Lonchura striata: one gene and its partners. The protein of the gene in region 2 interacts with the protein of the main gene of each other region in a pairwise test. Links are inferred from orthologs where the notes say so. Each region holds a gene or a part of one and is shown on either strand. Other genes may lie near its edges.

Evidence for each region.
Region 1: the proteins of GRN (region 2) and C18H22orf39 interact in binary tests that used the Homo sapiens proteins (3 or more experiments, as listed by UniProt). The link is inferred for Lonchura striata from reciprocal best matches to the Homo sapiens genes GRN and C22orf39.
Region 3: the proteins of GRN (region 2) and NLK interact in binary tests that used the Homo sapiens proteins (3 or more experiments, as listed by UniProt). The two-hybrid records come from large-scale screens. The link is inferred for Lonchura striata from reciprocal best matches to the Homo sapiens genes GRN and NLK.
Region 4: the proteins of GRN (region 2) and ARFGAP1 interact in binary tests that used the Homo sapiens proteins (3 or more experiments, as listed by UniProt). The two-hybrid records come from large-scale screens. The link is inferred for Lonchura striata from reciprocal best matches to the Homo sapiens genes GRN and ARFGAP1.

What each region holds. Positions count from the first base shown.
Region 1 is NC_134620.1:7,537,807-7,543,907, forward strand, and holds C18H22orf39 (synaptic plasticity regulator PANTS), read right to left. Parts: upstream 2,158-6,101; 5' UTR 2,098-2,157; coding exon 2,071-2,097; intron 1,891-2,070; coding exon 1,723-1,890; intron 1,217-1,722; coding exon 1,091-1,216; 3' UTR 521-1,090; downstream 1-520. Other genes in the region: MRPL40 (large ribosomal subunit protein mL40), read left to right, coding at 1-254; UFD1 (ubiquitin recognition factor in ER-associated degradation protein 1), read right to left, coding at 3,001-3,075, 3,471-3,552, 3,943-4,031, 4,392-4,439, 4,743-4,808, 5,329-5,397, 5,880-5,952. UniProt on the Homo sapiens protein: Negatively regulates long-term potentiation and modulates adult synaptic plasticity. Stabilizes the interaction of RTN4 isoform A/Nogo-A with its receptors, inhibiting clustering of postsynaptic AMPA receptors at synaptic sites.
Region 2 is NC_134627.1:2,567,698-2,575,111, reverse strand, and holds the start of GRN (progranulin), read right to left. Parts: upstream 3,010-7,414; 5' UTR 2,927-3,009; intron 2,921-2,926; exon of another isoform or gene 2,803-2,920; intron 2,140-2,802; 5' UTR 2,126-2,139; coding exon 2,036-2,125; intron 1,964-2,035; coding exon 1,892-1,963; intron 1,794-1,891; coding exon 1,709-1,793; intron 1,623-1,708; coding exon 1,519-1,622; intron 1,437-1,518; coding exon 1,289-1,436; intron 1,163-1,288; coding exon 1,056-1,162; intron 429-1,055; coding exon 314-428; intron 234-313; coding exon 136-233; intron 1-135. Other genes in the region: TMEM98 (transmembrane protein 98), read right to left, coding at 4,921-5,128, 5,654-5,713, 6,131-6,246, 6,512-6,545, 6,773-6,904, 7,369-7,414. UniProt on the Homo sapiens protein: Secreted protein that acts as a key regulator of lysosomal function and as a growth factor involved in inflammation, wound healing and cell proliferation. Regulates protein trafficking to lysosomes, and also the activity of lysosomal enzymes.
Region 3 is NC_134622.1:11,202,486-11,210,318, reverse strand, and holds the start of NLK (serine/threonine-protein kinase NLK), read right to left. Parts: upstream 3,019-7,833; 5' UTR 2,877-3,018; intron 2,646-2,876; exon of another isoform or gene 2,590-2,645; intron 2,201-2,589; 5' UTR 1,636-2,200; coding exon 1,178-1,635; intron 1-1,177. UniProt on the Homo sapiens protein: Serine/threonine-protein kinase that regulates a number of transcription factors with key roles in cell fate determination. Positive effector of the non-canonical Wnt signaling pathway, acting downstream of WNT5A, MAP3K7/TAK1 and HIPK2.
Region 4 is NC_134619.1:6,100,648-6,107,753, forward strand, and holds the start of ARFGAP1 (ADP-ribosylation factor GTPase-activating protein 1), read left to right. Parts: upstream 1-4,091; 5' UTR 4,092-4,207; intron 4,208-7,106. UniProt on the Homo sapiens protein: GTPase-activating protein (GAP) for the ADP ribosylation factor 1 (ARF1). Involved in membrane trafficking and /or vesicle transport.

The DNA of each region.
Region 1 (6,101 bases), on a different chromosome or scaffold from region 2:
TGAAGAAATGGTGTGTGTTTAAGCAGAAACAAGATGAGGCAGAAAAGAATGCAATTAAAGCCCTTGTAGAATCTCAGCAGGAGGCACTGAAGGAGCTGCAGCTGGAATCTGAGGAGCTGTACCAGGCAGCAATCCGGAGGGACGAGGAGCTCTTCCCCTTCCAGAGGGACGGACCCAGTTACACCCCTCCCCTTCCTGGCTATGATCCCCCGGAAGGAAAGTGCACTGACATCACCAAGGTGTACACACAGTGACAGGGGAGCTCCTGCTTCAGCTGCCACGAGGTGCTCAGCGACTGAAGGAACAAAGATTGGAGTAATAAACACTTCTTCCTGCAGGTTGCAACACTGCAGGATATGACTGTAAATAAAAATAAATGAAGTATCTCTGTTTTAATGACTATCCAGGTAATAACACACCTAGCAAAGCTACACAACCTTACACAGTGGCAAAACCAATTTTAAAATTCTTATATTGCCATGTAACTGTTGTTTGCCCTAATACAAACCAGATCTCTCTCTACATTCACTTAAACTTTTATTTTTTAGTAGTTTTGAATACTGTCACAACACACACCACCAATCAAGAGCAGTTCCACAGAGGGGCAGTTTCAGGGTGTGCAGCCCACAGGTGAAAAGCTGTTCAACTACCACGGCCCGGATTCTGGAAAGTGTCTTTTAAATGCCAGTGTTTGGGATTGTCCTGAGCCTGCAAGGAACAGTCCCAGCTTGGGTTTTTTCCCCCATCTGGCAGGCCTGGGGTGAGTACCTTTTTCCAGAAGTGCTCAATGCCAGCTGGTAGAGCAAGAGCCCCTCAGAGCTAGAAAGACATCTTGAAAGATGCCTGCCGAGATGAAATCCTGAAGTGTAAGTCAGCAGTAAAAGCCCACAATCAAATTAAGCACCTCAAATCTCCCTTTAAAAATATTCAGGGCTTAAATAAAATTTCAGAATTTTTAAGCGAGTGCTAAAGTATTGTAGGGCAGAGCAACAGTTGAATAACTTCAAGATGATATGGAAGGTAAAAAAAAAGTTCAGCATAATTCTGAATTGTGTATTATGTTACTAACCAAACACAGAAAACAGTCTTGTTAATTTGATTTGTCATGGTCAAGTGGTAGATACCAGTCAGGTGGGGGGCTCTTCCTGAGCTTCCACACTGGAGCATATTTCTGTTTTTCCATAACTCGAGCTCTTTCACTCTTGCACAAAGCTTCCTGAAATACAGGAAAAAAATATTATCATAATAGTGCTAGATGTTCCAGTTATACAGAGCTGATTTCCTACTCTGAATAACTGAGATAAAAGAAATAAAAATTTATCATGCTTAAGCAGAAGTGCTAAATGTTATCTACGTAAACCAGAATACAAGCTTTTAACTAAGTCATATTTATATTTTGCCTCTGGCTCTCAAGTTACAAAGGAAACTCGCACTGCTGTGGAACCCTGCGGAGCCTGTGCCGCAGGGCTGGTGTCGCGCAGTGTCCGCGGGGCTGGAGCCAGGGGCAACTCCTTTTCCCTGTAACGTGGCGGGTTTTCCTTTTAGGAAGGAAACGTCAGAGTATTTACAGCTGAAAACACTCCCTGGATCCTCCACTGGACTTTAACCTGCCCACCTCCGGCGCCTGCTTTCCCAAACCCTCCCCAAGCCCCGCGGCCGCGGGGTTTCGGTCCCGGCGGCCCTGGAGCCGCGGGCGGGCCGGGAGCGGGCCGGGGCCGGTACCTGCGCGGCGGCGGCGCGGTCCCTCTCCCAGGCGCGGCAGGCCTCGTAGTCCTCCCGCCAGCGGCCGCAGTCCGGCAGCTCCCCGTGCGCGTAGTAGTGGTGGAAGGCGTGGCGCAGCCCGCGGCAGTGCTTCCACTCCCCCCAGTAGTCCTCGCACGAGCGCGGCGGCTGCGGACGGACATGGGCGGGGAGCACCGGGTCCCGCCGGGCCGCACCGAGCCCCGCCGGGCCGCACCGAGCCCCGCCGGGCCGCACCGGGTCCCGCCCGGCCCCGGCCCCGCCGCCCCCCGGCCCCGCCGCCCCCCGGCCCCGCCGCCCCCCGGCCCCGCCGCCCCCCGGCCCGCTCACCCGCCAGGAGCCGCCCGTGCCCGCCATGCTGCCCGCCGCCAATGGCCACCGCGCTTACGGCGGCGCCCGCAGCCGCGGCCAATGGCGAGCGGCGGCACAAAGCGGCCCCGGGCCCGGCAGCCAATGGCTGCGCGGCACGTGACCAGCGCAGGCCGGGCCGGCCCTCGGCCTGGCCGGAATCACCACACACGGACGCGGCTGGGAACGAGGAACTTTACTCGGAGGAGTAAAAACTACGCAGGGTTGCACCCGGGTACGCTCGCCGGCAAACGAGAGGGCGCACAGGATACACTCGCACCGTTCCAAAGCGGGCAGTACAGCTGCGTCCCTCCTCTCCCTACACGTGCCAAGAGATTCCTACGCTACATTATAGTATTTGAACTATTAAAAGGCATGTTATTAATTATAAATATAAAAAGCAATTACAGGGGGGTTGCTTAGAATGATTAATAACCCAACACCTGAAGCTAAGCTCAAAGAAACTCCCTGCACTAAAATCCTAAACACCAAAGTCACCCTTCATTTGCACCACACCAAAAAGCTGATCTTAAATTGTGGCAAAATATATATAAAGGGAGGAAAATACCAAGCACAGAGCAACATGAGATCATCATAACTCAGGAGATGAGGGGAAGATGTAGTCTAACTGGACCCTTAATAAGGTAGAGCTTGTTGGTTCTGCTTCTCAGGTTTACCACAGATCTGCATTCCCTTCTTTACAACACATACAGAAAGCTTCTTCCAAATTCCCAGAACTTAATTTTCAGCTGAAAATTAAGACAGTCTGACAGCTCCAGATCTAAACATGAAACCGAAACACCTGTTAAGTGCTCCTGTGTTGCAAAACAATCTCTCAACTGCAATTACTAAGATCCAAGATGCTGCACCTGTTATTTTATTTTCTCCCTAACTAGCTGAAGGTACCACAACTTAGGGCTTTCTTCCTTTTTTGCGCAGGGACTGGCCTTCTCCTGAAAAGGCAATAAACCGGCTTCCAGATTCATCCTGGAAAAAAGAAAGGGAAAAAAGGTTTTACCTCTTGGCTCACTGCTTTTGTATGATGAAAGCTGAACAACTGTTAGCAAGAATGCTCCATCAGAGCAGCCACTGAGTGTAGACATTTCACATCCTTAATTTAGATAAAAAGCACTTTCTGAAAATAAAATAGTAGCATTTTGGTGACTTTTCAGCCAACTGGCTTAATAAACCGACACCAGGCCAATCAGTAACAAGGACATCAGAGGTTGCTTCACATGACTCAAACCATTCTAAACTACTACCACTTTTTAATGGAAGCATGCTGTAAAAAAATCAAGGGGAAAGACAGAGGGACCAGACTTGCATCTTAGTTCTAATGTTCTAATTCCGTGCAAAACTGGGGAGGATACAACTTCATATACCTCTTCCACTTTCTTGACCAGTGGACGTGAATTCCGAATGAATGTGATTCTACCAATCTTGAAGTCATAGTTGGGAATTCCTCTGGAAAAGAAGCATAAAAACATTATGTTTTTATACTGTTGAATTTTCCACACAGAGGCCTATTCTGAACTGGACACAGAGACAACTACTCTGTGTCTGTCAGTGTAATACCAACACTGACTGCACATTTTCATTTCTAAATAACTCCAGAGTTAAAGCACTGAATTATTTTCTGAAGATAGGCACAGATTGCAGAAGTAAATAATCAAATACTGGAGTTGTTGTGGAAGCTTGTCCACATGTATGTTTCTACTAGCCTGTGGATAAGAAAGACTTTATTTTCTAAGGCAAACTCATGACAAAATTAGTTAGTTTATATTACAGAAGCAGGGAAAAAAACCCAAACTCTGCTCAAACACTATACTTCACTGGCTTACAAGTGAATGATACCTTCGGATGTCTCCTGGTTTAATTGGTGAGGGACTGGGCTCCACACCTTTCTTCTTGCCATCCAATCTGTTCCCAGATCCAGAGAATGCCTGTGGATACATAATCAGTTTTAATTGAACTCCTGGCATTTGAAAGCACACTTCACAAGGACATTATATCTGTAAAATCTTACAGCAATTTTTATTTAGTTATTTAACTCAGCATGATTCTTTTTGGTACATATAAGCTGATGAATCATGGGTGTAGGAGTCTGTTTCAACCTCTCATCTGCCCTTTGCAGAGAACAATTCATGCTGCTCCTGGCTGTGATGACACAAAACATTCACAGGCACTTACCAGTTAAATAACAAGCATCTATAAGAACAGGTACTGATATTTTGCAGTTGTTCAGAACAACTTTCCCTCACCATTTTACAGGATTCAGAAACCAGCAGAAACAGGGCACTTACACGAAATCCTATATCGCTCACATACCCACTGTGGTCTGCTTCCACATCCTGTGAGGGGAAAAACAAGTTCATGTTGTTTGTGTTCTGACATGCACATGCCATGAAAACTGTTCCAAGTATTTCTGGCCAAACAAAACTTCAGAACAATCACTTGTCAAACCAAGACACTTTCTTAAAACAACAGTTGGTAAACACCAGTCCCCTAAGTAACACATGCAAAGGCTTCTGGCAAGTAAAATTTACTCTACAGAACTTGTTTAAATAAAAAAAAAAAAATTATGTTGGCACTTCCCCCACAGTCAACAGTGACTTCTAGGGGATGCATTTTGGAAGAACAAAAGTTTAACATACTGCGGTCTCTTCATGTTGTGCACTTCTTTCTGGTTCTTTGTATCCCAAAGGAGCATCAAAATCCACCTATTTACACAAGAAGCATGAAAAAACCCATTATTAATATTTTTCATTAAATCATAAGCTTTATACTACTATTCCTCAAAACTTCATGAACTATTACCACTGCGTTTGAGCTAAAAAGAACTAAGGTTTGGTTGTTAAACATTTTAACTCAGAACTAAAAAAAGACCAAGCCTACTAGGAATTAACCTTAGCATGTAATGGAAACAAAGCAGTAAAACAGCTCCACAATATCACTGGAGTGTGAGTCAAGACAAGGCTATTAAATAAAACTCAGATAAAACATGCCAAAGTTAAACATTAAATTCTAGGCATGGTAGTCACCTGATGGTGCATGAAGTACTAATCGGGATCACAGAAGGGGTTACAAAGGCACATGAGTACTCCCAAGTGAGTCATCTTCCCCACCCCATGGATTGCACCTTTCTTGCAGCATCAGCTGGGCTGGGTGTGCAGAGCTATCACTGCCTTCCCCTCTTGGGAGGACAGTTAAGGCAGGCCTTCCCCATCAGCTTTAACTTACATTCATATCACACTCTATGATGGACACAGCCTTATCTGGTTTGGTCTCCATTACCCGAAGCTCATAGATCTGAAACAGTCATAGATATTTCAAGATTGCATTATGTGTAAGGAAAGCATATCTAAACCTTCCCCTCCAGACCTGAAGTAAGTACTCTTTAGGTTGATAAGAATAAATATTGCAGGGTCTCTACAGAATTTAAAAGCAAAAGTTTTTAGAAGCCAGAGAACCCATTACTGCACCTTGCTGCACTCTTACTGTACTTTAACCTCCATTTTTGAAAACAAATTCTGAATTTAGGATAAATTCTTTCCCTTCACTTGTGAAAACTTCAACAGCACAAACATTTATTTTCTTGTGAGTCCAAAGAAATTTAAACAGCAGCTCAGAAAAAGACTTAGCTGACTCCTTTTTCCCTCCAACAGAAAGCCAACTGTGAAATCTGCCACGTGGGATTACTTGTCCAAAACACTGCATAGCTCTGAGTTGATTGTTTTAATACCAACATCCAACACTAATAGTAGTCTACAACCCTCAACCTTACACTGTACCTTTTCATTGTAGTTGATGGCAATCACATCCCCAGTAGTTAGACAGGCGAAGTTCCTCAATGCATTTTCCAGTCTTTGCAGTATGTTAAGATGAAATATTTATTTTCAGTGAAATATCAAAGCCTTAAAATCACCATACTGTAGATCACTAATCCTTAGTTTCTCAAACATGGTTTAAAAGCCATCAGTGCATATAGGATTTTAGGATATATAAATTCTTCA
Region 2 (7,414 bases):
CATCAAACCTTGTTTTGGGCAAATATAAGGAACCCCCACCCTTGTCCTTCTCAGTGGAGCAAGACGCAGCTGCCCTCATCCCACCCAGGGGGACAGGAGACGTGTGTGTCCTGGGGGCACAGGGGACCCCCGTACCTGCTCGAGGGGGCAGCACCCCCAGGCCCCTGAGCTGAGCCTGCAGCACGTGTTCCCATCGGGACAGCTCGTCTCCTCGTCACACTTGACCTCACCAGCTGGGGACAGGGGACAGTCAGGGCTGGTGTCCCCTCCCCGGGACAGGACAGGGGGTGGTTGCTCCCTGAGGGCGTCTTACCTGTGGGCAGAGCTGCTGGGGAGGCAGAGCCCCCCAGGGAGGTGCAGGTGGAGTGGATCAGGTCACAGGTGGTGCCCTGGGGACAGCAGTGCTGCCCGTCACTGCAGCACACGGCCTGGGGGGAGAAACAGCATGACACGGGCCCCAGATGGGCACAGGGGGGGCACAGCATATGGGACATGGTGTGGAGGTGCCCTTGGGACAGCAGTGCTGCCCATCACTGCAGGACACAGCCTGGGGGGAGAGATATGGGGTGACAGGGGCCCTGGGGACAAGGACAGGGTGTGCACAGCACGTGGGGCAGTGCAGGGTGCCTGGTATGGGGACATGGCACAGGTTGGGGTGCCCAGGGCCCAGTGTCCACCACAGGATGCCCAACAAGGTGTGTCTGGTGTAGGATGATTGGGACAGGCTGCCCAAAATAGGGTGCTTGGCATCACTGTAGGGTGCTTGGAATTGGGATGTCCAGAATGGGGTGCCTGCATGGATGGGTACAGGATGAGTGACGTGTGTTGGGGTGTGGGGTGCTGGTTTGGAGTGCCCAGTGAGGGGTGGCTGGATTGGGGTGCCTGGCACAGGAGTGCTTGGTTTGGGGTGCCTGGTGGAGGATGGCTAGGATTTGGTGTCTGGCATGGGGTGCTTGTTTTGGGGTGTTCAGTGGGGGGTGGGGGGTTTGGGGTGCTGGGCACAGATTTGGCACAGCTGCCCATCCCAGGGTGCCCAGGGCTGTGCCAGCACTCACGTTCTGCAGGGGACAGCAGCCGTACTGCCCTGGGGACAGCTGGCAGCAGGTGGCCCCATCGGGACACGCCGAGCGGCCATCGGGACACAGCACCTGGCGCAGCGCCACTGGGGGGACACACGGTGTCACCACGTCCCCTCCCCTGGCACAGCGCCACTGGGGGGACACACGGTGTCACCGCGTCCCCTCCGAGGGCCCGGCACAGTGAGGGCACCCCCGGGCACACCCCTTACCTGGGGCAGGGGGCAGGCGCTTCCAGGCGGGGAAGGCTGTGCCCAAGGGGATGTCGGTGTCACCGGCGGGGGACACACAGCGCCCGCGGGCCAGGTCGCAGATGGTGGCGTGGGGACAGCAGTGCACCTTGTCAGCACAGCACGAGGCCTGCGGGTGCCAGCCATGCTCGTCACAGCGACGGCCGTGCCAGGCCCCCCCCTCAGCGTCCCCGTGTCCCCACACCCCGTACCTGGGGCATGGGGCAGCACCCCCAGGCGCCGCTGCCCGTCACACAGCACGTGGCATCATCGGGACACTCGGACTGGCCGTCAGGACAGGGGACAGCACGGGGGGCTGCGGAGACAGGTGAGGCACCCCCGTGTCCATCCTGTCCCCTTGAGGCCCACCCTGACCCCCGCCACCCCCCCGTGTCCCTGTACCTGGGTCTGTGACACAGGACTCCCCATCAGTGCTGCAGCGGGACCCTCGGGGACAGCAGCGGTGGCCCCCGGCACAGGGGACACTCTGGGGAGAGAGAAGGGGGAAGGAGCGCAGGGGGGTCAGGGAGTGCCCCCCAAACGGCAGGGACAGGGGGAAACTGAGGCACAGGGGAGGGGGCTCACCTCTGGCAGCTGGCAGTTGGCGGGGCAGGATGAGCGGTCCTGGCACCCCATTGCACTGCGGGCAGGCAGGGCCTGGGGGGGCATAGGAGGGGTTATCATCCCCTGCTGAGGCCCCTCCGATCCCCCCAAACTCCGTGCACTCACCGGGGTGATGGGGCAGGGTCCCCCCTGGGGACAGGGCAGCTGGGCCCCCGCGCTGGCCAGGGCCACCCACAGCAGCAGGAGGGTCCTCATGGCTCTGGGGGCACCTGCAGGAACCCCCCGGCCTCAGTTTCCCTTCTCACTGTGCGGGCAGGCAGTTCTCAACTTCTTCTTTCAGCCATGTGTTGGGAAAGCCCCATCCCCCCCTTCAGCCAGCTCCCCCACCCCGGGGTGCTGGGGGCACCCACGGAGAGCGGGACACCCTGCGGTGTGTGGCACCCCAACCGCGCCCCGATAACATCTCCCTGCGGTGCCGGACGGGCCCGTCCCACAATCACGGTCACGGTCACGGTCACGGTCACTTTCACTTCCCTTTCCCCGCTGCGGGCACCTCCCGCCCCGCCCAGCGCGGCCACGGGGGCTGTGTCCCATGGGGGGCTCGGGGGGACCCCGGTGTCACTGCACCCCCACCCCTGCGACCCCCCCCGGGCAGGGCTGGGCTGACCCCCGACATCGCCCAGCAGCAGAGCCGGGGCTCCCAGTGCTCCCAGTAACTGCAGTACCCCCAGTGCTCCCAGTAACCACAGTGCTCCCAGTGCTCCCAGTATCCCCAGTGCTCCCAGTAACGCCAGTGCTCCCAGGGCTCCCAGTACCCCCAGTGCTCTCCCATGACTCCCAGGACCTCCCGGTGGATCTCAGTGCTGCCCCATGATTCCCAGTGCCTCCTAGTTCCTCCCGTGACTCCCAGTTCCTCCCAAAGCTCCCAGCACCTCCCAGTCGTCCGTATGACTCCCAGTAGCCCTAGTGTCTCCCAGTGGCCCCCGTGACTCTCAGTTCCTCCCGAGACTCCCAGTTCCTCCTGGCAGCTCCCAGTGCTCCAAGTGCTCCCGGTACCTCCCGGCTATGCCCGTGTGTCCCAGCGCTCCCGGTCCCCACCAGCGCTCCCGGTCCCGGCCGCAAGCCCCCCCCACCGCTGGCCGCAAGCCCCGCCCCCACCGCCCATTGGCCGCCCGCCGCACCCGCCGCGCTGCCATTGGCCAGCCCGGGGTGAGGGGGCGGGCACGGCGGCCGCCTCACACCGCCACGTGACGGGCGGTCACGTGCCAGCCCCCCCCCCCCTCCGACCCCCTGGGGCTGAGGGCGGCGAGAGCGGGGGGGGCTCGGCCTGAGGGAGCGGGAGCGGGGCGGCGACCCCGCAGACCGCCCTGCCCGGGACACGGACCCACAGAGACCCCGCAGACCGCCCTGCCCGGGACACACACGGACCCACAGACCGCCCTGCCCGGGGCACGGACCCCTCTGTCTGCAGCCTGGAGCACTCCTGTGTGAGCCCCAGTTCCCCTCTCACAGGCAGAGACACCACGAGGGCACAGACCCCTCATCAGGGCACAGAGCCCATCAGGGGCACAGAGCCCACCAGGGGCACAGAGCCCATCAGGGGCACAGACCCCTCATCAGGGCACAGAGCCCATCAGGGGCACAGAGCCTACCAGGGGCACAGAGCCCATCAGGGGCACAGATCCCCCTGCCCGGGTCTCAGGGTTTTGCCCCTTGGTGTCTTGGAGCTCTCCAGACCTCGCTCCCAGGGCAGGCAGTAGCCCCAGTGCCTCCCAGGCCCCCAAATCCTCCCCAACCCTGCAAATTTCCGTCAACCCCCTCCAGTCCTCCCCAACATCCCCAACCTTCCCAAAACTCCAATCTTTGCCCCCCAACTCCCCCATCCTCCCTGCCAATGCCCACAAGTGGCCCTAAATCCTCTCCAAGTCCCCTCCAAGCCCCTGTGCCCCAAAGACCACTTCAACCTCTCCAACCCTTCCCAAAACTTCTAACCTTCCTTTCCAAGTCTTTCCCACCCCCTCCAAGCTCCCCTAAATCCCCTCCAATGCCAATGCCCCTCCAAACCCCCTCCACCTCCCCAAACCCCTCTTCCAACCGATCCTAAACATTCCCTTAACTCCCATTTCCCCTCCTACACCAACTCCCTCATTTGCCTCCAAGTCCCCCAAATGACCCCCGTCCCAGGAAATTCACTCCAAAACCTCTTCCACTCTGACACCCCCTAAACCTTAAAATCCCCTCAACTTCTTCAACTTCCTCCAAACCCTTCATAAACTCCAAACCTCCCTTTCCAACACCCCAAATCCCCTGCAAACCCCTAAACCCCCTCTGATCTTCCCAACCCTTCCAAATCCCTTTCAGCCCATGCCAACCTCCCTCCACACTCCCTTCCCAGCCCCCAGCGTCTCCTTAGACCCCCAAATCCAATTCCCACTCCAGCACCCTGAAATCCCCTCCATAACCTTCAAACTCCCTCTCAAGCCCCCCAAAACAGTCCCTACTCCCAACCCCAAATCTGCCTCCAACCCTCCAAACCACTTCCAGCCTTCCCAACCTCTCCAAACCCTCTCCACACTGCCTCCCAAGTCCCCCAAACCCTCTCTAGACCCCAACCCCTCCAAACCCCCAAAATCCCCTCTAGGTCCCCCCAACCACCTACCAACCTTCCAAACCCTTCAAAATCCTTTAAAACTCCCTTCCAACCTTTCTCCACACTCCCAAGTCCTTCAATCCCTCCCTAGACCCCCCAACTCTTCCAAATCCCCCTCCAATGCCCTGAAATCCCCTCTAAACCCCTCAAACCCCCTCCACAACTCCCTCCCTAGCCCCCCAACCCCTCCAGATCCACCTCCAACCCCACAAAATCCCCTCTAAACCCCTCAACCCCCTCCACACTCCCTCCCAAGCCCCCCAATCCCTCCCTAGACCCCCAACCTCCCCTTCAACACCCCCGTTCTCTCCCCAGACCCATCTCCATGCAGAAAGCACAGCACCAGCCCATCCCAGAGCCGCCCGTGCGGGGCTGGGGGCACACGGGGCCTTTATTGGGGTCAGATGGCTGACTGCTCCTGGCGGGGGGGCTCGCCGGGGCCCGGCGGCCGCTCGGGCTCGGTGGCCATGGCAGCCTGGCGCAGCACGGCCATGTGCTCCTCGGCGGCCGCCAGTGACCGCTCGACCCAGTGGCGAGCGGCCGGCTGGCGACAGGCGCTGCGGGTCACCAGCACCAGGTGACTGACCGACAGCAGCAGCGCCGCGGCCCTGCGGGGACACGGGGCTCTCACTGCCCTGTCACCTCCCTGTCACCGCACTGTCACCTCCCGCCCTGCCCCATGGTGGCTCCCTCAGCAGCAGTTTGCCTCTGGTGACCAGGGATGGGACCCAGGGAATGGCCTGAGCTTGTGTCACAGGGGGTTTGGGATGGATCTCAGGAAAGGTTCTTCCTCCAGTGGTGCTGGCACTGCCCAGGCTCCCCAGGGTATGGGCACAGCCCCGAGGCTGCCAGAGCTCCAGGAGGGTTTGGATGGCGCTGCCAGGGATGCCCAGGCTGGGATGTTGGGGTGTCTGGGCAGGGACGGGGGTGGGACTGGATGAGCCTTGGGGTCCCTCCCAACCTGGGATATTCTGGGATCTGCTCAGACCAACGGGCCTCCCTGTCCTGCTGGATGACCTGGGCTTGTCCCCAGAGTGGGGTTGTCCCCAGAGGTGCGATAGGTGATGTGGGGGTGTCCCCACCCACAGGTATTCCCCACCCAGGAGAGTCCCTGTCCTTCTCGCCACTGTCACCTCGCATCCAGCAGTTTGGGGTCCAGCGGGGGGTACATGGATCTCACAACGTCATCCACTCTGCGGTGGGGACAGCGTTAATCCCAGGGGACACTGGTGACACCTCCAGCACAGCCACCCCAGGCCTCAAGAGCTCTCTTGGAGCCCTGCGACCTCCCTAGAGCCCCAGGATCCCCCTGAACCCCAGGACACCTCCCAGAGTCCCAAAATTACCCCAGGACCCTGGGATGCCTCCCAGAGTCCCTGGACACCCCTAAAGTCCCCATGTTTCCCTCCAGAGTCCCCAGGGTCCTTCCCAGTGCCTCAGGACTCCCCCCAGAGCCCTGGGATGTCCCCAGAGCCCCCAGGACCCCTCCAGACCCACCCTGTCCCAAATCTTTGGAGCCCCTCCAGAGCCCTGGAATTTTCCCCCCATCCCTGTAGACACCCCAGAGCCACAGGACCCCACCCAAGAGACCCCCCCAAACATCCCGTCACCTGGGGCTGATGCGCTTGGCCACCACGATGATGTCACCCAGGCTGGCTGGGGACTTCACGCGCGTGCCCGAGCCCATGGTCATGGCCACCAACTTCTCCGTCAGTGTGTGACAGATCTGGGGGACAGCAGTGGCCATTCAGTGCCCATCAACACCAGTGCCACAAGTGCCACCTACCATCAGCACCAGTGCCACCAGTACCAACAATGTCACTACTGCCACCATTACCACAACTGCTGCCCACCACTGACACCAACATCACTAGTGCCACTGGTGCCACCACTGCCACCAGCTCTACCAGTACCACCAGTGCTGCCATTGCCACCAGTGTCACCCGTCCCACCAGTGTCACCACTACCACCAGTGCCACGCCCTCACTCACCTTCAGGATGGCAATGCAGTGGGACACCAGACCCCTGTGGAGAAAGAGGGTGTGAATCCACCTGTGTCCCCCCTGCTCTGTCCTTGTCCCCTGTGTCTCCCCTCTTCTGACATCCCTTGTCCCCCAGACCTGTGGGGATATTCCCATCCAAGACCATCTTGAGGACCATCCCCATGGCTTGGTGACCTCCAAATCTGTCCCCTACATCCCATGATGGGGGGCTGGCACTGCACAGGGGTCCCCAGCAGTGGGGGCACTCACGAGGCATCCTCGACCCAGTCCTCGTTCTCCAGGATGGCCTCTATGTGGGGGTTGGTGATGACCACGTCATCCAGCTCCAGCTCCGAGGGCTCTGACGGTGTCTCCATGGTCCCCATCAGGTCCACGATGGGTCTGTCAGAGACATGGGGGACATCCCACCAAGGGCCACCTCCTTGGGCTGCCCCACAGCCCCAGTGGCCCTGATACTGGTGGACGTGTCCCCATCTTTGTCCCCCTGGTGATGTGGATGTGTCCCAAACTGGGACAAGATGGAGGCATCTTCCCTCTGATGATGCTGGACATTGCCTGCATCATCCCCCTGGTCACAGTGGCTGTGTCCCCATCTTTAATCCCTGGATGATGTTGGACATGTCCCCAGCTTTATCCCTTTGATGATGGCTGATGTGTCCCCATCTCTGTCCCCCTGATGATGGTGGATGCGTCCCCATCTTTGTCTCCCCGATTACCGTGGACATGTCCCCCAGATTGTCTCCGTGATGATGCTGAACATGTCCCCAGCACTGTCCCCAGCCCATGGGGGTTGAGGTGCCTCCCTGGTGGGGACAGGGACACTGCCACCCCCGTGGGTCACTCACTTGGTGTCGTAGTGGTGGCGCAGATCCTTGGGGTGACAGTAGCGCT
Region 3 (7,833 bases), on a different chromosome or scaffold from region 2:
ACTCAGCATTAAAATTAACTCCCCAGCTCTGAGGGAAGGCACACGGGAGCAACCACAACACTGACCTGCACCTCACTCCTGCAGCTCCCTCAGCCTTCTCAGAAAGCACCATTTTGCTACCAGCACTGGGCTGGTGATGTGTGGCCAGCTTGAAAGGCTGGGCTGCAGGCAGAAGGAGTTTTGCTCTCCTGAGGCCTGCCCTGCTGAGCCCTCTTGTCTCCGTGCACTGGCACACACCGTGACCCAGCCACTCGTCTCACTGAAGCTGCAGCTCGGCCAGTGCCTAAAGCAAAACTCCTGGGGCACCCCAGAGGCTCGGCTGGGAACGCTGCAGGGGGCTCGGACACCACACACAGCTGCACGCTGCAAACTTTGCATTCGTGCTGCAGGAAGTGCACTGCAACACGCCTGCTCTCCAGAACAGCCCCCTGCCAGCCTTCATGCTTCCCAGGCACAGCTCAGAACAGGGCACGCCAACAAACATTTATATACAAATGCACATATACTGCTGCCAGCTTTGTGTCAGTGCTCCTGAAGGGCACTAACTACATACATGGCTCTAAGGTAGTCATAAAATGCATTAGGAGAGATTCTACTCCGCTGACAGACTCCTCTGAAACGCGGCTGGGGGATAAAAGGGCCGGAGGCAGAGCTACAGCGAGGCAGGAAATCCCATTTCCATTTTTGAGAGGGGAGCAGAGTTCAGCTGTGCTGTTTGAGGTAGTACACAGCACTACCGCGGGTCAAACCGCCGTGAGACAAAGATCTTGACAGGTGACTGCACAAGGAAGACATTTTCATACGCTTTTCATTTCCGACTCTTAAGCCAGGTCAAAATGAATATTCCAGTGCTCATTTGTTAACCTGAAATTTTAGGAAGCACGGCTTAGCTGCACGGATGCACACTCTAATTAAAGGTACAGAAAGGGCATAAATAAGCTGTATTGTCTCAGAACGGCAGGGTGGCCTGTTAGTCAGAGGTGGCTCCTCACCACTGGGAACCTTGTTCTGCCAACGCAAACGAGCGAAGCAACTTTCTAAGAACGGAGAAGAACCAGCAAAAAAACTCTTAGTAAGCAGCTCTCTTGTATTCTGATTCCAATGACAAAAACAAGGATGAGTTATGATCAGGTAAAGAATGACAAGGAGGTATCGGTTCACTTTTGTCTCTACTCACCAGACAACACCAAAGGCTCCGTATCCGATGGGTCTGTCCGGCTCAATGTCCAGTTGCTGCTGTGGATGTTGTGAGTGCTGATGATGGTGCGCTTTGACTGCAGCAGCTGCTGCAGCCTGTACCTGAGCTGGGGCTGCTGCAGCCGGTCCGGGGGCCTGGCCCGGGGCCGGGGATGGGAAGTACGGCTGCTGCTGCCCTGGGTTCAACATCGCGGCGGCGGCGGCTGCGGCTGCGGCGGCCGCGGCGGCCGAGGAGGCATGCTGCTGCACGGGGTGCACCGCGGCCGCCGAGCCGGCGTGCAGGTGGTGCTGAGCATGGTGGTGGTGATGGAGGTGAGGAGGAGGGAGGTGAGGAAGGTGGTGGTGATGGTGGTGGTGGTGACCTGCTGCTGCCGCAGACGTACCGCCATTGTAAGCCGCCATCATTTTTGCGTTGGCTGTTGTGCCACAAAGAGACATTCAAAAAAATGCCCTTTGATTGGATAACAACTGGGTCAAGCTGTCATTTGGCCATAAAAATTAAATCTGCTACACTTTAAAAGAAGTTGGGTTTCATCATACACGGCCCACCTTTAAAAACATGGAGCTCCACTGGCCTTATCTCCTCGCGAAGCCAAACAACTCGGGGAGTCTCTTCATGTGTGCGGGCGCCAACCCCTTCCCCAGCATCCAGCTGGGCTTGGCTACTCCAACTCCATCCTTGGGCAGCTGGGTGGGGCCGGGGTGGGTTTTTTCCTTCACTTTTGGTTATTTTTGTTGTTTTTCTTGTTATAAAAATTAAACACCGTGATCAATCCCCCTTCCCTCCGGAGGGAGGGCTCGGAGCCTGTGCCCTGAACACCCCGCGAGGGCTGGCCAGCCTAGCCCTGCCATTCCCACACCCTCTCCATGTGTCCCCCGAACCTCCCTGCGCCCGGGCACCTCCTACATCGCTCCCTCCTTCCAGACACCTGCTCCCTCCTTCCAGGCACCTGCTCCCTCACAGCAGCAACAACTCGGGAGTTTGCAACTTTTCCTTGAAGGCCTGAAACACACACAAGGACCCAGAGAAAGTGAAGGGAGGGCGGCGCAGGGCGAGGAAAGGGGGGCAAGGGGGCTAAAAGAAGATAAAAACAGAAGGAGGAAGGGAAGGGCCGGGGCAGGACAGGGATCGCGGGGGGGAGGGGGGGGCGAAGGAGGGGGAAAAGTGGCGAATGAATGACGGGGCGGAGCGGGACCGGGGAGGGGGCGCGGGGCAGGTCGCAGCGGCCCCTGACAGCGCGACCCGCGGCGGGGCGGGGCCGGGCGGGCCGGGGGGCGTCGGGCCGGGGGTGGAGGGCAGGGGGCCCGCGGTGCGGGCGGCGGGAGGGTGTGGGGGCGGCCCCGGGTGCCCGCCCCGCGCGGCCCCGGCCGCGGCCCCGGCCCCGCTCTCACCTGGTCCCGCCGCCCCGCGCCGCGCCGCGGGCACGCGCTCCCCCCCCCCTGCGGGGCGCGCGCCCGACACCGCCCGCAGCCAATCGCGCCCGGCCCGCCGGGCTGCGCGAGAGCCGCCCCCGACCAATCGCCGCGCGGCGCCCGGCGCGCCCCGCCCACCGCGCGCGGCCGTGCGGAGCTCCCCCCCCCATCCTCTCCACGGCGCGGCCCCGCCCCCGTGACCCCGCCGGCCAATCAGCGCGCGCCGCCGCGCCCGGAGCCGCCGAGACCCCGCGAGATTCCCTCACCTCACACAACCCTCACCCCGGGCGGGCCCGCCTCCTTCACCCTCCTGCCACTCACGGCGGGCCGCCGGCCAATGGACGCTGCTCCTGAGCTCAGTGCCGCCCCCGGGAGCCGCTCTTCGCCCAATCGCAGCCGCCCGTCCAGTCCAATGAGCCAATGCAGAGAAACGAAAGCCCGAAAAGAGGTTACTGGGCCAATGGCACGGGGAGGCGGGCGGCGGCGCGACCGACAGCTCTCCTCGCCAGTGGCGGAGCCGGTGGGCGGCGGAGGAGCCGCCGCTCCGCAAATCACGGATGAGGAAGCGGCCGCTGCGCCCGCCCACGGGCGGCAGGCGCCCAATGGGCGGAGGGGATCTGCTGACGGACGGCGGGCGGGGCCAATCGCGGCCCGGGGCGGGGTGAGGTGAGGACGCGGCGCGCGCGGGGTCGCCGTGGGCGCTGAGGGGGCGGCGGAGCGCGAGCCGCGCTGAGGGCGGGCTGAGCGGCCGCGCCGGGTCCCGGTGCCCTTGTGCCCTCACACCGCCCGGTTCCGCTGCCCCCGCAGCTCCCTCTGTGCCCACCCTGCTCCCGCCCGGGTCACGGTGCCCTCGGGAATCGCCCGCTCCCTGCCGCCGGGGCCGGTCCCGCAGCACGGCGGGCCGACGGGGGCTGCCCGCCAAGGGCAGGGGATCTGTGGGGTTTTGGGGCCTGTTTTTCGAGTCTCTGAGGACCGGAGAGCGGCGACTGCGGGGCTGGCAGCGGGGCCCCTGGGCTGTGGCACCATGTCCCGCCGTGCGTGGGCTCCCCTTGGCAGGAAAGAGAAATAAACCGCTAATGAGAGGGTGTAGTGCTCCCAGCAGCGTGGCCCATTGCCCGAGGCAGTCTCTGCGAGGCTCCTTTCAGCGTGCTCAGAACACGCTCAGGGGACACTGCCAGGTACGTGTTAACCAGGACCGAAATATCCTTTGGTTGTTGTTTTAGCTCCCTCACGCTATGAATCTGCATGCCTGGGGACTGCAGTGTCTTTGGGTAAGGCATCAGTGTTCCCTGAAACACAGGGGTGGGTAAAAAAAAGTTTTAACACCTTCCATTTTCTCATGCGAATATTAATCATATCTGATTAATAGTTTTACTTCAGAAAAACTCTCCCAGGTTACTGGAGCCTTTCCCATGGTGGTAGAGTTAAATTACCGTGAGGGTGATGAAGAGGTTCTTTCAGGTAACTGAACTGAGCATTTCGGAGGCAGTCCGTGACTGACAGGGGATGTGTTCGCTGTGCTGGGAGGGAGCTGAGCCTCTCCTTCGCTGCCCCTGGCTCCTGTCTGGGCAGGAAAAGAGCTCAGCAGAGCTGTGACAGGACAGCTGCAGTGCTGAGGTGTTACCAGAAGATCCCTGAAGGTGCAGTCCTGTCATCTGTCCTTTCTGTTTGTTTCTGAAGACTGGACAGCATTAGGCTCCTCTGCAGGGGGAGGAAGAGAGCGTATAAATGTGACAGCCTGTTGTGACTCCTGAAACCTCAGTGCAAAATCTTTGCAAGTATGGGTTTGATACTTTGGGGATACTTTATAACAATGGGAGTTGGGTAATTTTTGCCTGCTCTTTGAGAATGTAATCAAGAAAAGTCTTGCAGGACTGAAGATGGGCTCCTTTGTTAAAGCTATCCCTGTTGCATTTGGAAATATGGTTATTAATAGTCCAGTCTGGAATTATATCAGAGTTTTGCTGTCATGTCACCATCTTAAAAACAGACTGCACTTAAGAAAAAAAGAAACAAGCAAATTTTGGTTTACAGCCATTTTATATTACCTATTGGAAGAAGAGACAGAATACTTATTTGGAACTCACATTTGTAGCTGTCTGGGGTTTCTGTTGGAGCTGATAACAAGCCGGGTCTGAATATGGCACACCCCAAGGGTTCTCCTGGTTTCTGCTTCCCCTGGGGCTCTGGGGAGGTGTGGTGTGGGGGAGAAGGAAGGAAGCTGGTACAAAAGGGCATAGGGCTGTCTTGGCAAGACTGCAAGGTTTTTAAAACTCTCCCACACATTTTCATTATGGACTTTTCTTTTTCTCTCTTCTGCAAAACCTTTTCAAGTAGTAAAAGGGAGCAGTGGCCCAATAATCCTTGTATGAGAAACTGGGTTCTCAGTGTATTTGCAGGTCAGTGTCTCAGTGCCACTATTCAGGTCTAAACACAGTGTCACCTTAACTGTTTGTTCAGTTAGGTACTTCACTGGGTAAATAAGTGTCTTGCCTTAGAAGTACCCTGAAAGTGTTGTTAGATGCTGTCATGTCAGTGGGTTCTCAGCAGCAGCAGCAGGAGAAGCGCAGGGTTTGCACTCCTGGCACTGGCACATGTTTCCTAGCAGTCCATGACCAGATCACTCCAAACCGTGCTCCCCAGCTTCCATCTGTGAAGTGTGGGTAAAATCTGGGACCCACTTTATCGTTTCCAGATGCACTAAATGCTACAGCCATGTTGTTCTATTTGCCCTTGGAAGCTGCAGCAGCCCTGCTCTGTGAGGTGAAGCCTGGTGAGGGATGTGCTTATCTTGGTGCCCATATGGAGTTCTGTCAGGTGCCAGCGTTGGGTGGCCCACCCTCACCAGTGTATCTGACTTGCACACTGGGTTCATAAACACTTTCAACTGATGTTCCTGGCCTCTTCACACTGTGAAACTTAAAAGCTCTCAGTTCAACTGCTTTTTAGGCAGGTTAAGGAGGACAAGATCAAGTTGATTCATAGGGAAGTATGCGTAAGGAAAAAACAGAAGGGTAGTAAGGAAAACATGAAACTTGCAAAGTGCTCGCCTAGTAGACCCTTTGTTTCCTCAACAGAGGTCTGTTGCTGCATGTAAAAGTCAATATTGTGCATCAGAAATGCTGGGCTCACGCTTGTTCATTTCTGAAAATCCACTGCTTCAAGTTTAGTCTTTTCTGACTCTTGAGAGATTTATTTTCCTCTCAGATTTGACACTTGGTTTGCAGAGTTATAATCTCTGACAGTGCTCTGCATACAGGCAAGGGATGGTAGGCACTTTATAATCAGCTAGTCCTGTTTCTTTAATGCTCCTCAGTAGTGTTTTAACCTTAACATTCTACGCAAAAGATTGTATCATCTTGAACAATATAAAATGTAATTGTCCAGTTCCAGACATAACTTGTCAGCATTTTTTCCTTGTCCCACATGAACTAGCTGTGAAAACAGGACTTGAAATATTAGAATAAGTCTTTTGATCATTTTTTGTGTGTGAATGTCCTTCAGCATTTGGGCATGTAAGGGTTTTGTGAACCTTTAATGCAGAAAATAATAACATTAAGTGGAACAAAGCATAATAAAATGCACAGATTTGTCTCTGATCCACAAAAGGGGTGCTCTGAGCTGCACTATTGATAATTTATCATGTGGGTGTTTGACAAGCCCACACATACCCTGATATAACACTCTGCAGATACAGTCCTCAGTATTCTGTAACACCCTGGAAATACTTAATTCATAAATCCTGGTGCTGGAGCCTTTAAGGTGTCAGAAACATGGTACTCATGCCTATGGATCTGAGCAGGTTTGGTTAGTCAGATAAATACCACACTCCAAATAAACTGTGATCCTAACGTGTAACATAATAAGCATGTACACAAAATATCATGGGATTAAAATTGCTGTTCAAGTATGTTAGCCCTTTTCTTCGCAAGGAATAATTTTCCAGAGTTTTTGTCTTCAAAACCTTTTCTCCATGAAACTGGAAAAGAATAAATTCCTCCATTAATAAAATTCAGAGAGGAGCAGGGGAAGGAATATTTTGGTTGTGTATAAAGGTTTCTGTCTTAACTTTTGAAAGGATGACAATATTCCTTCATGTAGGAGGAGGGCAGGGTCTGCTTGTCTTGTGGAATGAGGGACAAGTCCCTGCCCTGCTCAGGGCAACGTTTTAATAAGATAGAGGGAAAAGAATCGAGTAATCCAGCCGAGCAGGTGAGCTGTTGTGAGGCTGTCAGTCAGGTAGCAGGCAGGGTGACTCTTTAGAGCAGCACTGTGGGAATGTGGCACTGCCTTGGAGAGCAATTAAAGGATGGAATGGAGCTTCCTGCAGCAGGGCAGCATGATGTGCCTGGGATGGGGTGGGGGACAACTGCTGTGAGGGACAGATGGTGTCATCCAAGATTGCGCTTCTCCCTGATGGTGGATATCAGACTCCACGGGTACCTGTGTTCCTTCCCTGGACCCTCAGCCTCCTCTGTTCTCGCAGAACAATTTATTGTGGTGGGATCACAGCCCTGCCCCAAATCTGTCCAGTGTGCTCCATATACAGATATGATGGTCAGGATTAGCACTGCAGCTTGAAATCATCCAAAAAATGTCACCTCCCAAACACTGAGCTTGTGCTCTGCAGAGCTTTCTAGCCAGAATTGTTTTCTTTTGAGAGTTCTGAAGGACTTACTGAGTTCTTTGCTGACTGCAGCATTTAAGCATGAACTTGGCTTTAAGTGGGAATGCTCAGGTGCTTACAGTTGGTTTGTAATAATCAGTCATTTACAAAGTTAAAGCTGATTGTTTAGTCCCTTTCTAAACACCGGTTTCAGGAGGCAGAGGGGACATCTTTATCCCCTGCTGCTTTCTGGAGAAAGTGTCAGTTCTGCGGTTCTCTCTGTTCTATATTTCTTTGCACCAGAAATGACCCTGCTGCTCTTTGTCGACAGTGTTTCCTTTTATCCCTCTCCTGGCAGCTGCTCTTGCTCCATTCTGATGTTGGAACAGCAAATGAATTCCCTCTGAAGCAAATGTCAAGCCAGTAAAGACGTTGAAGCAGCAAGAAAATCCTCTCTGTCTCTGAAGACGGAATTGGAGACCTTTGTGAATGAGATGTTCTTAAAATAGCTCCACAGTGTGTTATCTTCCCTAGAAGGTGCAGAATTGAAAGCATCGCCACAAGGCACTTGTCCTTGTGCGAGCAGCATCCCTAAATGATGGGTTTTGGAGAGGGGA
Region 4 (7,106 bases), on a different chromosome or scaffold from region 2:
TAACAACTGGTGTTTCATCCCATGGCAGAAAATATGTCACATACAATTTTTCTAGTATTTTTTTTATGTGACATAAGATTAGTAGAAATTTTCTGTCGAGATTTACAAAAATAAGACCCTCCCCATAGTCACTGTGAACTCTCAAGCTTGTGAGGTTGAAAATGAGGTGAAGCCTTTGGTGGCTCAGGTGACAACCTGCAGTTCCCAGGGTGCTACTCAGAGCAGGAGTACCAAAAAATCCTGCAGGAAAAGGGTGTTACCACAGTCCCATCAGTTAACCAGACTTCTCCTGGTGCTAGAAGGGCTGAGTTTGGTGTTGCATTATTTCTCACACAGTTACAGACACACTTCTTACATTCACAGGTGTACTTTGTTCACACAGTTACATGAGTCACGCACAGTGACAACGCAGAACTCCAGTGGTGACATTTATCATACAAACAGGTCCATTCCTCCCTCCTTGCTCCTCAGATTTATTAACTAGATTTATCGAAGACGGGATCTGGTTTTCTTCTTGTTCTTCCTCAATTTAAGTGTTGTGACATCCTGATATAGTGGCTCATCTCAGGTGTGTTGGGAAGGAAAAAGGCAATAAAAATTCACAGTTTCTCGGTCCATGACAAGTGCTGCTACTAGTGAGGGCTGTAATTCAGCCCACATAGGCATCAGTAAACAAGTCCAGAAAGGCTTTTCCCTTTATTATTTGAAGCTCAGGCTTTCAGCTATTCTAGAAGAGAATTTTTCAGGTATTTTTGTGTGGTTTAAACCAAGAGGTAATGCCGCTTCATTAATGCCAAGGACTGTAATATTTAATAACCAAAATCTAGTCTTATTAATAGATTATAAAGGGTTTAGTAAATGTGTAAAACAGAAAAAAGTGAAAATGAATGTTCTTTGGTTTAAATCCTATTCCAGAGATTTTTTTTCTCCTAAGAAGTTTCAACACCATCATTAATTTACAAGCAAAATTGCACACTAGGTAGCTCATCTTAGTAAGTTTCCATTTGCTATTAGTCTTCTTCACTGCAATTATGGTGAACTTATTCATGAAATCTCTGCAGAATTTGGCTCTAGCTGTTTTCTGTGCTCTCAAATCAGACTGACCTTTACATGTTTGCATATTGTCCTTTTGAAGCCAAGCAAAATGATTTCTATCTGGAAAATCTCAACATGGAAAACAGCTCAAGGATACTGTGCCTGCCTTGTATTATTTTATGCTGTAATTTGTTCCTTATCATCATGTTTCATATGTTCTTGACATTGGGCATAACAATTATAACAATGGCAATTGTGCTAAAAATATTTGTCATTTAGTTTCAAGCTAGAAACAGCTCATAAGCAGATAAAGAGAACAAGTAGGGAAGGCAGTGCTGGCTGCCTTTGCAAATGTTTTTTCTTGGCATTATCTATTATCTCGGAATAGACATTTGCCACACATTGCAGAGATGGGGAGAGAGCTATGCCCCCATCCCAAATTCCTGGAACAGTGCAAATCACACTTGCCAGGGAATGGAACACATTTATTTGCTTGCTGAGAAAGACAAATGTTTGTGGCATCCTTTCATTCCTACTGCTCACCAGACAGGCCTGTCCTGCAGCCCTTACCTAGGTGAGTCTTTTCTGCTCACTGTGTCTGGGGTTGAGGATGACTCCTGGCTCAGGCTGTGAGCACACACATTCACCCAGAACCACTGCAGAGCCAAGGCCTACACAAATCCCTGGATTATCTACCAATTATATGGAAAAACAAAGATTAATATGCTCATTAGGCCCTGTAACACAGCATTTGTGTAATGGGAACCTCATTGCCTGTTGGTTCACGTTTACCAGAAAATGATGGTGCTTATGAGAAGAGATTACTTTCTCCTTAACTGGAAAAGCAAGTTATTTAAGCCGAGTTTGCTTTATATTTCATACCCCTTCCTCTGTCAGCCTTACACAACGCACACTTAAGGGCCCATTATCTTCTCATTGATGTGAGGGCATTATGTGTGTAGCCACCATTAATGGTAATGAAAATGGCTCCTGTTAATCTCCTGTGCGCTGATAGTCAGATAATAGCCTACTTATTAAGTACAGAGGCCAGACTAGGAGTTGCACCGAAATGAGCAGCGTATTGTCTCTGTGGGATTCAGATGTAAACACTAAATCATTGCCCTGTGCCCACAGCTGATGATTAAAAAGAAGTTAGCAATAGCATAAATGTGCTCGCCTGGCCTGTGCTTCCAAGCACCACAAAGCAACTCTGGGTGCTCTTTCCATCTGATCCACCCTCACCTTTGGGAGGATCTCTGGGGACAAAGTCCTGAGTTGGAAGGGACACACAAGGATCACTGAGTCCAACCCAGACTTTTTGGGGTTTCCATGCACAGGAAACCCCCAAATCCCACTCTGTGCATCCCTGAGAGCATTGTCCAAAACCTCCTTGAGCTCTGGCAGCCTTGGGGCCACGACCATTCCCTGGGGAGCCTGTTCAGTGCCCAACCACCCCCTGTGGGAAGAACCTTTTCATAATATCCAACCTAAACCTCCCATGACACAGTTTCAACCATTCCCTTGTGTCCTACCCCTGGTCAACAGAGAGCAGAGATGCTCCTCCAGCTTGTTATGTGTAATAAATATAATTTGCGCCATTCCTTGTATGAAATATGTAATTTGGATACTTGTTAAATCATGCCCGTTGTATTAGTTCCAACCCCCCCCCCCCTTTTTTTTTTTTTGCAGGCGAGACTGAGTATATATTGGAAACTGATTTACAAGTAAAAGGATGTGGCTCGGCTGGGTGATGGGCCATCATTGGTGTTGATCGTCTGAGATGGACATCATGGAAATACTCAGACAGATCCATGTGGATGCAGCCTTCCTGTAAACTCCCAACAAGAATTTACCTACTCCGGACATTGAATTATTTCTCCTCATCACCAAAAAAAGAAATTCTTATTAATCTATGGACTCTGAATAGAAGAAAGGACTGATTGCTAAAATCTTGGCCTCAGGTGGAATTTTCTCTATAAAAACCGCCTGTGCCAGGATGGAGGTGTGTGGGCATAGGAGAAAACCTCTGCTGAGGCTGACTCCTTGTGGCACACCCAGGGTCGACCCCGGGCTCAGCTCTGTCCTTTCTGTGTGGCTGGCTAGATAGAATTTGACAGCTAATAAAATTATTTTTATTTTTAATCTGGCTAAATAAATTCTCATTTATAACAAGCTCCTCTCATGACGAAGCACAAACCTCAATGATGTCTCCCCTCAGTCTCCTGTTCTTCAGGCTGAACAACGCAAGGACCCTCACCCACCCCTCTAATGGCTTTCCCTAGATCCTTCCTCAAACTTGTGGCCTCCTTTGGATGCTCCTTAGGGGATTTATCTCCTCCATATATTGATTGGGGTACCCCAAACCATCCCAGCGCTCCAGCTGTGACCACAGCAGCCTGGACGTGAAGCTGGGGGAGCTTCAGCCCCTCCATCTGCTATCCCCAGCTTGGGAGCAACACGGGCCGTCACCTGAAATCACCACTGCACTCTCACCCATAGGTGTGTGAGGAAAACCCACAGAATTCCACAACATTCCACATAATTCACCCTCACGGGCAGCCCCAGCCACAAACCCCGGGGGTCGTTTTTGCAGCCGCACGGGGAGAGCAGCGCGCCCGCAAGGCTCGCTGCAAAGCTTTACTTCAGCTGGAAACAAATCCCTTGGACTCCTCTCTGGAGCACGGGGAGCTGGATCCCATGGAACCCGGCCCGGCCCGCAGCGGGTTAAGCCGCGCGCCCACAATGCCTCGCGCCCTGCAACGTCGGCGGCGCCGGGCGGGACCGGGCCGGGCCGGCACCGGGACCGGGATCGGCACCGGGAGCAGGGCCGGCACCGGGAGCAGGACCGGCACCGGGACCCAGCAGGGGCGGCAGCGTTGCTCAGGTCTCCGTGGCTCCCCGCAGCCCAGCCCCGCGCTGAGGCGGCGCTGCTCGGCCCCCGCGCTGCCGCCCCGGCCGCAGGCTGCCAGGCTGGCGCGGCGGGCAGGAGGCAGCGCCCTGCCCGCTGTTTCAGCTCTTTCTGCGTTGTTTTCTTGCCCAGAAAGCAGAGGCCGGAGGGCTCGGCGGATCCCGGCCATGTTGTGAGGGAGGGAGGCTGCAGGACGCCGCTGGGATCCGGGTACCGCAGGTGTGCCTGAAGGAATCGCTCTTCCTCGGCCCCGCGAGGCGCTGGGTGAGTGTGGAGCTGCTCGGCTTTGATGTATTTGCGAAGGAGAACCGTGCCAGCTCCGTGGAGATGGGCGCTTTGTGAGCTTGCCAAGGTTTTTTCAGCCGCTGTGGCCTTTTTGCACTGGTGGGACTCAGGGGGAGCCTTGAGCACCATGAAGGCACCAGGCCACGTCACCCGCTGACTCTTGGTGTGTGAATCGCAAAGCCCTTTGCAGGCTGGCTCTGAATTTCGTGCTGTGTCAGAGGAGCAAAGTCCTGTTATGTATTATTTCCGCTTCTAGTCCACTTCTGCCTTTTTTGCCTTGTTTAGCAAACTAAAGATTTCATAACCAGAAAACTCATATGGTGAACATCTAGTTTTTGCTCTGGGAGCAGATTGTTTGGGAAATAAGAGTGTGAGATTGCTTTATGTGAAGCTAACTCCACTTTGGAACCCTTGTCAGAAATATATATATTCATAAATGGAAATTTACTCCAAAACGAAACCTTTTCTTTACTGCTTATGTCTATTTCTATTAGATCAAAACAATGTATATTTCTTTACGGTGGCTTCTTTCTTCATTATTTAGCTATGAAACTTAAACGGCACAGGTTTATATACTTAAACACTGATTTAAGTATATAAAGTTTATATACTTAAGTTTATATACTTAAGCACTGCTTATATATCCAGTCAGCTATCAGGCCTCAGCTTTTTGGTGGTGATCAATGATAATTTGAACCCTTAAAACTTTGTGAGAAAATCATTAAAAGTAAACTAGGCACCTCTAAAGGTGTTACCTATTAGAAAGCTTAGAACATGACATTTTTACTTTGTCATTTATTTCCAAATGCTTTGGTGGGGGAGGACAAGATGAAAAGCTGGTGCCTTTAGTTACCTCCTCCTTTTCTTGGTGTGGGTGAAGCTCTTCCTTCCCACTAGACAGATGTGGTTTGGGCAGGGAACTTGGTGCATGTGGAATGGGTGTATGTTCTGACTGCAGTTTGCCTAAGTCTTTCCGTTTTTGTTTAAAAAAAGGTAGTTATGGCAGAACCAAAAGCAATTGCTTCCTTTGTCACCTTGGAGCTGGAGATCTGAAACTCATGTGTAAGCTCTGGAGGGGGCTGGATATTGGCTGTTGGAGGATGGATGTAACTTTCTGCTTTGTAGACAGTTCCTGGCATGTGCAGAGTTGGAGTGGGAAGAGGCTTTCCTGTTCAGCTCCAGCAGTGCTGGTTTGCCATTGAGGCAGGCCTCTGCATGTAGACTGCCTCTGCTGGTTATTCTGATTGAAAATCTGTAAAAAAAGGAGGAAAAATAGTAAAGGAAGGGCAGGAATAAGAGGATTGGACATCCCACCAAAGAGGGGAGCTTTGGAAGCTGTCAGTAATGTACAGGAAGATGCTGGGGAAATTAATTCCTGAGGAAAAGATGTTGGCATGCAAAGAGCAATAATGGCAGAGAGGAGGGCCCAGAGGGTGCACTGTTGTCTGTCTGGCTATTCCTGCTGAGTTATTTACTTAATTTCTGTACTGCAGAGGAAGAATTCTACATTAGCTCACCAGGGACAGATAGTGGAATTGAAGACAGAGACTGAGAATCATATAAATGTGTTTATGGTTGTTATTTAGGACATGAGCAAATGCACATAGTGCTATTTCCCTCCCTGCTCACATGCACATGAGTTGTGGAAGGTTAAATGTTATTGAAATGCTATTGGAAAAGGTGTGTTTAATTATATGAGTAGTCACTTGACACACTTTCATTCTCCTGTCTTAAAATTACACAATTTTTATTAGATTATTGATAAAAATAACTGTGCTCAGTTTTATTTTAATACAGGATGGCAGGAAGATTTTATTCACCACTATTTGCATTGACTTTTATTGCAATTACCTGGTTTTGCCCAATACAAAGCAATTAAGGCTGAAAAGGTGGCACATTCTAAACATCAATGAAAGCACTTCACCTTAAATTCCACAAAATTAAGCATTTGTTAACAAGATATTTACAGAGGAATAAGTGCTTTAGATAAAAAGCAATGACTTGTGCTACAATCACCCTCTGCTTTTAGCAGTAGCAATATGTAGGTACAGCAGTGAGCTTTTCCTTTCTGAGTCATGTTATCTTAGCAGGTGATGCACAGAACTATTTATTGTACTGCTTTGCTTTAGAGATTGAAATTGTTGCCAGTCATACAAATGCAATATTTCCTTACCTGTAGCATTTTACCTTTTTAAACACCCTTCCTTGATTTATTTAAGATAAATACTTCCTCCATCCCCTAGGGCTGTTGTCTGTAACAGTCATTTACCTTCTAAAATTACTGTGAGATTGTTAATTTTATTGATGTTCTAAGGACTTTTGATTATTTGGTCAAACAGCACAGTGAACAGAGTTGCCTAAAGGCCTTTTTGCCTCTCATACCAACCTTTGTTTGGTGAAAATATCAACCTGCTGTTTTATGCTTTGTATCTTGACTGGCCAATAAGCTTGATATTTAGTACTTGGTGCTGTTTCTAGTCTGCTTGGTGAATTCTGTCTTAGAAGTTTGTTTTCTGGAGTAGAAATTATAAGATGGAGAGGAAGTAAAAAGGGAGAACAGATGTTACTTATTTAAAGTTAATTTAAATATGATGCTATTAGTTGATAATAGGAATTTATTTTTTATCTAAATTGCAGCCTTATGCTGTACCCTACACTGTAGTTCTTCAAATCATGAGTGCTTTATGCATTTTGGGTTTTTCCAGGCTGTTTACTGTGTGTAAATCACATTTTTTGTCTTAATGTGAATTTTATCCATAGCATGCCACTGCTCCCTGCTGTTTTCTGCATCATAAAAATTAGAGTGAGATGATGAGGTCTGCCAGTGAGATATGCCTGTTGAATTACAATACTATTTAGTGTAAAAGGTCCCAAGAAT